Linked DNA regions of Schizosaccharomyces pombe. The protein of the gene in region 2 binds, or shares a complex with, the protein of the main gene of each other region. Each region holds a gene or a part of one and is shown on either strand. Other genes may lie near its edges.

Region 1 (5,385 bases), on a different chromosome or scaffold from region 2:
CCTTACGATCAAACGGTTCTGACAACACATTTGAAGACGCAAAAGATAAGGAAGGCTGTAATGATTCACTCGTATCAGAACTCCTTTTAGGAGTATACGAAACACTTCGTTGCTGAGGTACATGTCCTTTATCTTTAAAGTTTGAAGGTAGTGGAGGAACTGAAGGAATTTCCTCGGGCTTCTCAGGTTCACGGGAAACCTGAGAACGCGTAATCGAAAGTCTTGGAACAGGGGGAGGTGATGCAGAATCACTATTACCGTTAGAGCTTCTTTCTTTGGATGGTTTGAACCAGTTAATAAATTGCTGCATCCGGCTTTTCGTTCTCGTAGGAGTTTTCTTTCCATTCCGGTAGCTAGATTTGGTAGAAGAATCAGCTATGTAAGCATGTGGTATTGCCGGTACGTCAGGGGCATCCTCGTGTTTAGCTTTACTTCCTTTCTTCATACGAGAAGAACTTCTCGAAAAACTCAATCTGCTAAAAAAGCCACCTCTTGAAGATCTACCTTCTTTGTTGGAAGATTTCTGTGATTTAGACTCATTTTGGACAGTATTCCCATGTTTAGCTTCATGGTTACGATGCCCATCAACGTTTGTCTTCTGAGAAACCGCTTTAGGAGCAGCTTTCGGATCAGGATTTCTACTGTCGGGATGAACTTGAGATGATGTAGTAGTATTATTGTGATTATCGGATGAAACAGGTTTGTTGTTATCGAAGACAGAGGGGGTAGCAAAAGAGTGTGATTTGGTTTGTGATCCTACATGTGAGTGATTATTTTTAACATTAGAAAGGGTTATTTGACTATGGGGGGAAAGTTCTTTGAAAAAAGAATTGGATGTCTTCAAAGGGGATTGGATTGTAGAAAGATTCTTCGATTCTGAACTTGATTTCGTAAGGGATCCAGATATATTTGCTTTAGGATGTTGGTGATCAGTGGAATGACCTATATTAGGAGGAATAGTTGGAACAGGAGGAATTCCAGACTTATTTCCAATAGAAGCTGCTCTGGGATGTGAAGTAGAATGGAAGTTAGTATGACGCCAACTACCGGATCTCTTTGGAGCCATTGAAGCATGGTATGCATGGTTCCCCGAGGAAAAAACGCTAGATTGTAAAGGAACGGATGATACATCTTGTGTAATAGATATAACCCCACTCAAATGCCCCCCATTATTTTGCTGATTCCAATCACTAGGCTTTGATGAACGATTATAATATGATAAGGAAGTTCCAAAACTCTTAGAGTTCGATATTGAAGATGTCCTATGATGTGAAGAAGTATTCAACGACGAAGGATTGTTCTGCTGAGATGACTCGAAATCGATTGGGTTATTACCAATACTTATGTTTGACAAACGGTGTATGGAATTCCTCGGACTGTTTTTCTGTCTATAATCGTGATCAAAACTACTTCGGAGTAAACCATTGCCAGTCGAGTGGTGTATAGTAATAGCATGATTATCCATAGATGAACCAACTCCCTTTGGTTCAACATTCATAAATAACTCATCTTTATGCTCTTGTTCCGGAAAAGAAATGTTCGTATTTGAGGCATTCGTCGAAGGACTCGTATCTGCTGCTGTACTGCTAGAACTCTGGCGGTTTGGACAAATATCGTTGGAATAACTACCAACGGCAGAAAGTTCAGATGGGTTTAATAGTTCAGATTTTATTCCGAACATGTTTGCGCTTTTCCGGTTTGATGTATGAAGTTTAAATAATGCATCCGTATTTTCGTCGCCCAGAGAAACCGCTTTTTGGGACTGCAAATAGCCCATTTGCAAACTTTGCTTCAAAAAGCCAAAATTCTCACTATATTACGCTTTTACTGGCTTTTTTGAAACAAAATATTGTTTCTATAAGCTCCCTCCTTCAGTTACAGTCTCTTATCTTCTTTAAAATGCAAACTAGTAGCAGTACGTTCGTGGCTAATTAAAGCCGCGCTACACCCTGCATATCAATACCAACCACTTCTGAAAGGGCACGCAAGCTGTAAATGAAACATAGAACGCTTATTGATTTGTGCACAAATTTTACCAAAAAGAAAATATTTTATTAAGATTTACTGCATATATATTTTGATGCTTTAAAAAGAGTTTGAGTGAACATACTTTGGGTTTTTTTTAGTCCAAGGTTTAAAATTGGTTTTCATTTGTATACATATAAAATTCCCCATAACTACTGTTTTAACCCTCGTTATAAAGATAAATCAATCACACAGACCTTCCCATTGAAACTAAGTTTTAGGCGGTTCAAAATTACCTACTTGTTTTTGCAATTAATGCGTTTCTAGCAAATAGTTTGATGGCAGTAAAGGCTTCCTTTTTGCAGAACAAATTAAATTGCTCGCTGAACAGACATAAAATTGCGCTTATATACAGTGTTTTAAGCTGATTAAATACGAAATACACGACTAATTTACTAAATCTTCTTTAATAATCTTTTCGATGGATAGACCACATCTCTTTTCTGAAGTTCATTTCCGTCGAAACGCCTCTAACCCCAATCAGATTAACTGGACGCGTTATTGGATTGATTGTCTATCATCAGTTCCTTGGAATGATATCTCTGTAACTGGATTTGAATATTTGGCTAAAAAGTATGGTCTGGAGGTTTTTCAAGACTCCTCCAAACCCAATGAAGTGGTCCTCAGTTTAGCTGGAAAAATAATTTTGATCGACGTAAGTTTAAATCCTGTACATAACCGTTTTACTAATTAGTATCTAGATCACTGTTCCCATAAATGCGTCTCCAAAAGATATCAACGTTGTTTTGGCTTTTGCAAACGCTAGTGGTGAGCAATATAATAATCCTGTTGCAGAAAAATTACTTAAGGATGCAATTTACAATTGCAATACCCCACTATTTGAAAAGAATGTCAAATGGTTGGCTACCTTTGATCACTCCTCTCCTTCGGTCCAACAAAGTTGTTTCCAATATTTAGACTCACTATCCTCTTCTTTAAATGCTATTTATGAAGCAGAATTATCTTTGCTAGCACAAGAAGAAAATGTTATAATGCATGGAAACGGAAAGCCTCTCAGTAATTACGAAGGACAACTTGGTTTGCGTATTGTATACTGGAAGCTTTTGGATAAAACCTATAGCACTCAAATTTTTATGGATAATTTGTCTCATGAGTCGCTACCTCACTTGTTATTCGGATATAATTTATTAAATTCTCCTCCTATCCTCCAATCATCAAAAATTAATTGGGCACTTGAAAATACTTTGACACCTATTCCTACAACAATGGAACTAGTTTTTGATGATATCAATTTAATAATACCAGAGCAGGGCGTCAAACCTTTACTTGATTTGCTTCATGTCCATGACATTACCATTCCTTGGCCTGTCCAAAATTATAGTCATATGGTAAGTACTTTCCCTAAATATCAACTTAACTAATTTCACCAGCTTGGTTTACCTTCAAAATCAACCGTGAACTACAAATTCATTAATAAAAATCAAGCCATCCAGCTAACAGGGTTCGATGTTTCCGCACGTTCTTTGCGTCACGTACCGTTTCATCATCCCAAGCAAATTCGAGGAATACTTGCTATTGTACGCCAATATTTATTATTACAATTGATTTTGGAAAATATCAAATCAGCAGATTTAGCAGAGACTGCGGCATCTTCCTCCCTTCACCTCTCTCTATATTTTAAGGAGCATCCGATCGTTCATGCCCAATATCAAGAAATCAACAAACTGAATAATTCCGAACAAATTATCATTGTTCTATCCGTATTGTCAGATGGAAGACTGAATGTTGATTATATGTCTAGTGGTGGCAAAGAATTGTCAAAACAACAGTCTCATGTTTTTCAAAAACTTATACAACAAACATGTAACATCGGACTTGCGATAGAAGTGTTTATAAAGAAAGTCGTTAATTAGAATTTCATGCTAGAAAAAGACATTACTAATCAGTTTTAAAAATCTTTAGTAAAATGAAATTATGGAATTAGTTGGATGTTTTGAATAGTATAAATTGAACACTTTAAAAGGCTAGCCTATTTTACAAAAATCAGAACACTTTAATAGATATATTCAACTTACGAGAAACTAATTTGCTAAAACTTGAAAGAATCAGCTTAATATTTTAGAGAACAGGATTGTAAGTTATTCAATTCTCAAAGCACAAATTGTGGTAGAGAGTAAAAAGAGGCCGTTCTTATTCGTCGTCGTCTTCTTCTTCTTCCTCCTCATCTTCACTCTCAGATTCGTCACTTGCTTCAGCCAACCATGTCAAAAAAGGTTCAGCAGCTTCATGAATCTTCTTACTAGTTTCACGGCTCACATATTTCTTGCTAGCCTTTGCTCCCCATTTCTCAAACATGTCATCAGAGACCAAGTCATTCTGATAAATCTCCAAGAGTACCTTGGGAACAACGTCGATGTGCACTAATTCAGTGTTTTCCATCAAACGTTCAAACCCACCAAGAAGAGCACGTTCATGTTTATCTGTCGTGCAAAGCTTTTTAAACAATGCACCATGCTTTTCAAACTCCCCAACGTAAGGCGAAGTAATAATACATTGAACTAGTACAACAATAGCTTTACTTTTATGATGAATATTCTCTTCCTTCATCTTTTTGTAAATTTCAACATCAGAAACACCAGGGTAGTTGTCTTCAAGCCATTCACCGAATTGATCATAACGGCTAGATTCCGCTTCTTCCTCGTCGCCACGTAAGTCACTCAAAGTGAGCGAATCTTTCATATTACCTTCTAACTCTTGAACACGAGCACGAACAGCTTCTTCACTGGTATCCACAGCCCAATCTTCGTCATTTACGACCTCAGCGGTAGGGAGTTCCGCGGCTTCTTGACGAATTCTACGAGTGAGTTCGTCTTCAGCACCATCTTCTTCCTCTGCAACAGGAGAATCCCTTTTATGTTTGTGGGACTTCTTTTTTGCAGGAGGGTTCTTGACGATGACACCAGTAAGCTTGTGACGACCGTCAATGACACCACGATAGCCACAAGCTTTACAATCATAGGAAATTGTCTGATCCTTCTTATTAATGCTTAATTCAGTTTCCGGATTTTGACAAGAAGCGCATAGCACAAAACGGCGGATAAATACATCCAACAGATCTTGAAGCTTTCCAGCATCATGAGCACCGTTCACAATGTAACGGTCCATGTCAGCAATAATGGTGGTTTGGGCGCCCAACTCAAAACCAAAAAATTTAGTTACATACAAAGGGGGTCTTCCCAACGCCTTAGCGATATCGGACATGTTCGGGATTACAGTCTTTATACCATTTCCCTTGCCTTCGATTTTAGATTGCAGTTTTGGCATTCTATAACGATAGAAGCTATCTTTGACATCACGTCGGATGTTAATGGTTGCCATTGTTATTACAGTCTCGATGAT
Region 2 (4,484 bases):
TTTCATTTGTTGCTCCATTTGAACCTGAGACTGATCAGCCTCCTCTTCCACATCAATGTCATTTTGTAAAACAGCGTTTAAATTCCTTCGTTTATTCAAACTTTCCTCACGTTTTTGTTTGCGGATTTCAATTTGCTGTTCTTCACGTTGCCGACGAAGTTCATCAGCTTTGAAAACACCTTTGCTTTTAAAACGGCTTCTTCTATCTGATAAATATCTCGATTCCATTTCTATAGGAATAAACTTTTTTGATATCCTTTTTACTCTTTTTTTTTTAGTTATCTAAGACAGTTGTGGTTGCTGCGAGTTTAATGAGAATAAGGAGGTAAAAGAGCACTTGTGTCGTTCCAAGAAGCAGCCGGCACCCAGGTAACAATGTTCAAAAATAATAAATTTAGAATAATTTGAAATATATCATTTTCCGGTTCAAATCGTTGAAACTTTCTAGATCATTTTTGTTCTGTCATTGGAAACCTTCGCACCATAAAACGGGTAAAACAACATGCTTATTGAGCTCATCAACCAATTTTTCTTGGGTTTTTAACAAGCTGAATGCTATAACAAGAATTCAAAATTTAAAAACAAATGGAATTTTTCTTTAAACAACCTGTCAAGTTGGCCTATTTTTATTTTTATTTTGATTATATAATACATATAGTTGAGCAATTTAATCTTTGAATAAATACTTATTTTTCAAACACTTCCGTATCTGTTTTGTAAGCTATTAATATGTATACATTAATGGTCCATTGTCTAACTAGAATTTATTTGGTAGCTATTATTAATATATATATTTTTTATTTTTTTTGTGATAATAAAGATTAATTCGGTATTTATATAAATTTAGGAATTAACTTAACGGCGCTTGAAAACATATTATCGTCATTCAGTTAAAATGCTCTAAATCATATACACTATAGGAAGTAATCTAATTATATAACATTAACTTTATTAATTCACAAAGTAATTATGAAGACCATATAAACGAAGCTGATAAATCTCTATATCCTTGTTTTTTCCATACATTATTTCTTTCCTTCAGTTGTATGCATCATTTATTTATACTAAAAATTATTAATAGATTGACTATTTAAAACCAGAAACGAAGGAAACAGAAGAGATAAATAAAGAAAGAAAACCAACGATTTCATAAGAGCCAATGAAAACAATATTGCTGTTATAAGCAACCGAAAATATATTTAACATCTGACACATATCCAGTAAAATTATAAGAAACATTTTCTTGCATATTATTAAACCCAAATCCCAAATGACCAGAACGAAGTCTAGTGATTCAAAGCTTATGACTTTGACAAACCTTTGAATGCAACTTCATCCATTTCTTTTTTTACTTTCTTATATAATTCCATCGTTGCTTGGGCATCCTGGACGGAAGAATGCTGTCCAGATTGAATGTCACGCCCAAGAATCACTTCAGCAAGTTTTTTAAGCCCTGGTGTCCTTCCCTTGGCTAATTTCCGATACCCAGAAAATCTGCTGGTATCACGAATCATTCTTCTTGGATGCGATAAAAGTAGTACTTTGAGATCGTTATGGACAGCATGTCCAACCAATACTCGATTGTCGAGTATCTTAGCAACTTCTGCTTGTACTTTTTCAAATGAAGGTGCATCCCGCATGTGAAATGACTTGACACCACTGACCCATGTTCTCCAATCCGTAACCTTTTCTTTAGGACGGACATAAGTATCATACACGACATGACCATGATAATTAACTATACTGACGCGTGCAAGAACTGACATGTCATCTGCCACCCCAACCATTTCACAATCCATTGCAATATATTTCCCCAATGTTTCCAAATTGGTTTTTCTGGTAAGCTTGGAAGCATCCACGCCATATGCGTCAAGGACTTGAGATTCAGGGATATCATTTTCCTTAGCAAATTTCTTTAATTCATTCATGCGTTTTTTATCGACGATATAAGAATTCTCATTCTCATTGTTTTTACCTTTCACACTTTTAAGGTATTTCTTTTCATTAGAATGCTTTTTTTCAACCCGTCCACTCTTAGCGCTGTCGAGTTTCTAAACAACCAATACCGTTAGTATACTTAAACAAGAATCTTAAATGACTTAATGGAAACTATAGCCTTTCATACCTTCTTTAACTTTTCCCAATTGGAAGAAGACATTGCTTGTGCATAAGAGCCAAAGTTGGTGCAAGAAGCAATTTGCAACCTCTTTCAATATGATTCTCAACGCGGTATCACAAATATTTTATCACATTTTAGCACATTTCATTATTTTGAATAAAGCGTTGATGATAGTACGTTACGTTAAGTATCATTATATAAGTCACATGCCTTGTATTTATTTATCTATAGTATATATACATATATTGACAGTGATGCACCATTTGTTGCTTCTTGATGTAACTACTGCCAAATATACGAGACTATGAAATAAATTAACCTCCGTTCTTCGGGTCACCAATGAGCTATTTCAGTGTGTACCCACTTCGTAAGAATATTATAAGGTACCGGTGGTTAATGCATTTCCTAATAAAAGAATATTGTGAATATTCAAGACCCGTAGTAGCATATTCGTTAAACATTTAGTGATTTATGTTTGCTTAAAAGGATAGATTGTATTGAATTTGTAGCATTGTCCGCTATCTTTTTAAAAGCAGAGTACTGCAATTTTAATAACAATGCACCTTCACGTAATATGAAAACACTCAGAATGAATGGATTATCAAAAAGGTACTGAAAGGGGTGGGACTCGAACCCACGAGCTTTCGCACTAGTGCCTTAAACTAGCTCCATAACCACTCGGACACCCTTCCACGATCAAAAATATAATAAATATGTCGAATGTATTACTATTATCATTGTTTTTCTATGTTAATTAAAAATACTTAGCTGATTCTGTAGTTTCTGTAGTTTATTTTTTTTCGCTTTCCATTAATTTTTTTTTAAATTTTATGTACTGTTTTATGTTAAATTTCTTTTGCTTATGTCAAGCGTGATTCTAGCTTAATTCTTTTTCCCGATTGCTAGACAGTCGGTTTTTAGGTCGATACATTACAATTACAAACAATGTCATAAAATCAAAAGCTGTGCATAATAAATATCCGATGCTGAAATAACAGAAAAGTTAATTAGCGATTTATTGTTCTTGACATTTGCGCTTCAACAATTGTTACCTGCATCATGGACCTTCAACAACTTGCGACTTTCAACTCTTTTTAACTCATATTACACCTACATAAAAAAATGGCATGTAGGTGTACTCAGCTTCAAGATACAATTGATGAGGTAATGGGACTAGTTTTCTTTTTCTATTCTAACCTATGTAGGTTGCCACACAATTTTACTCTTCCATTCATTATTTAAGTTCTCATCATGATTTCGTTCCTTTACCTGGTCAAGAAAAGGTTTCTGATTCTAAAGGTATACAAGATTCATTATGATGCTATTCAAAGTAGCTACTAACAAATTATTAGTGAACCCAATTTCTGCTGAAGAGTTACAATGTACGATATTAGACGTCCTCTAGTCATTTTATGTGCTAACTTCTTTTTGTAGTCGCTCAAAGGGATCTAGCAAAAGACTTGGTTACAAAATTTATGCAAATAGACACTTTGATCAACCAACTTCCAGGTATTTCCACTGCACCAAAACATCAATTAGAGAAAATTAAAAAGTTACAAAACTCCATTGAAGAAAAACAATTGGAGAGGAAGAGTTTAGAATCAGAAAATGAAGATTTAAAATTACAATTGGCCAAGAGGATTGAAACATTTGGCCGGTTATCATGTGTCCTATTTCAGCCCTGATGATAATATGTAAGCAAAATATGCATACTAGCATACTCTTCTAGTTGCCAGATTTATTGAAGTTTTAAAATATCTTTGTCTGAGCTAAGAAAGAAGATGTGATCGCTGGAAGTGGGCTTATCATACGGGCAGCCTTAGATATACTGTTTTGACAAATGATTCCATTTTTATTAACGAGCTAATCTTTTTGAATCGATTTACATAAATATCTATCTACTTGTAGTTTTTAGAATGCCTTTACTTCATGCTGACGAGTACTTGACTGAAGTAACTAATTGTGAAAGCAGCTATGAAGTCTTAAAAAATAAACTAATAACAAACAGAATTTGAAAAGTAAAAAAATAGCAAATTAGCAAGGATAGTTTCTTATAGAAGAAAGAAAAAAATCCCTGATTTTTTAGAACGTTTAACGAAATTTACAAAACAATACGCTATTTTTGTTTAAGAAAAAAAAAATCCATTAACCATTCATTGCAAGTTCCTTTGCTATATACGACGGGAATTGAACATCACCATATTCACTTTAACTTAATTGTAATCATGGCTCCATTTCCTTTGAAATCGTTTATTCCCCCTCAAGTAGCGAATCCTACAGTAAGATTAATTAAAAAAGTGATAAATATAAACGAAAATCTAACTAAGATAGGCTTTGAATGCTTTTCCTAGCTCTGCTAGGATGG

What was found. The genes of interacting proteins can lie anywhere in the genome.
Region 1: srb7 (region 2) and med1 share a complex: the UniProt entries of both Schizosaccharomyces pombe proteins name them as parts of the mediator complex.

The regions. Positions count from the first base shown.
Region 1 is NC_003424.3:535,949-541,333, forward strand, and holds med1 (mediator complex subunit Med1), read left to right. Parts: upstream 1-1,961; 5' UTR 1,962-2,446; coding exon 2,447-2,680; exon of another isoform or gene 2,681-2,726; coding exon 2,727-3,374; intron 3,375-3,416; coding exon 3,417-3,899; 3' UTR 3,900-4,064; downstream 4,065-5,385. Other genes in the region: DYRK family cell polarity protein kinase Pom1, read right to left, coding at 1-1,777; translation initiation factor Tif5, read right to left, coding at 4,177-5,364. UniProt on the Schizosaccharomyces pombe protein: Component of the Mediator complex, a coactivator involved in the regulated transcription of nearly all RNA polymerase II-dependent genes.
Region 2 is NC_003423.3:3,912,370-3,916,853, reverse strand, and holds srb7 (mediator complex subunit Med21), read left to right. Parts: upstream 1-3,215; 5' UTR 3,216-3,241; coding exon 3,242-3,283; intron 3,284-3,324; coding exon 3,325-3,418; exon of another isoform or gene 3,419-3,471; coding exon 3,472-3,501; exon of another isoform or gene 3,502-3,549; intron 3,550-3,553; coding exon 3,554-3,804; 3' UTR 3,805-3,984; downstream 3,985-4,484. Other genes in the region: importin alpha family nuclear import signal receptor adaptor Imp1, read right to left, coding at 1-228; exoribonuclease Rex4, read right to left, coding at 1,302-2,051, 2,126-2,158; atp17 (F0-ATPase subunit F), read left to right, coding at 4,345-4,398, 4,451-4,484. UniProt on the Schizosaccharomyces pombe protein: Component of the Mediator complex, a coactivator involved in the regulated transcription of nearly all RNA polymerase II-dependent genes.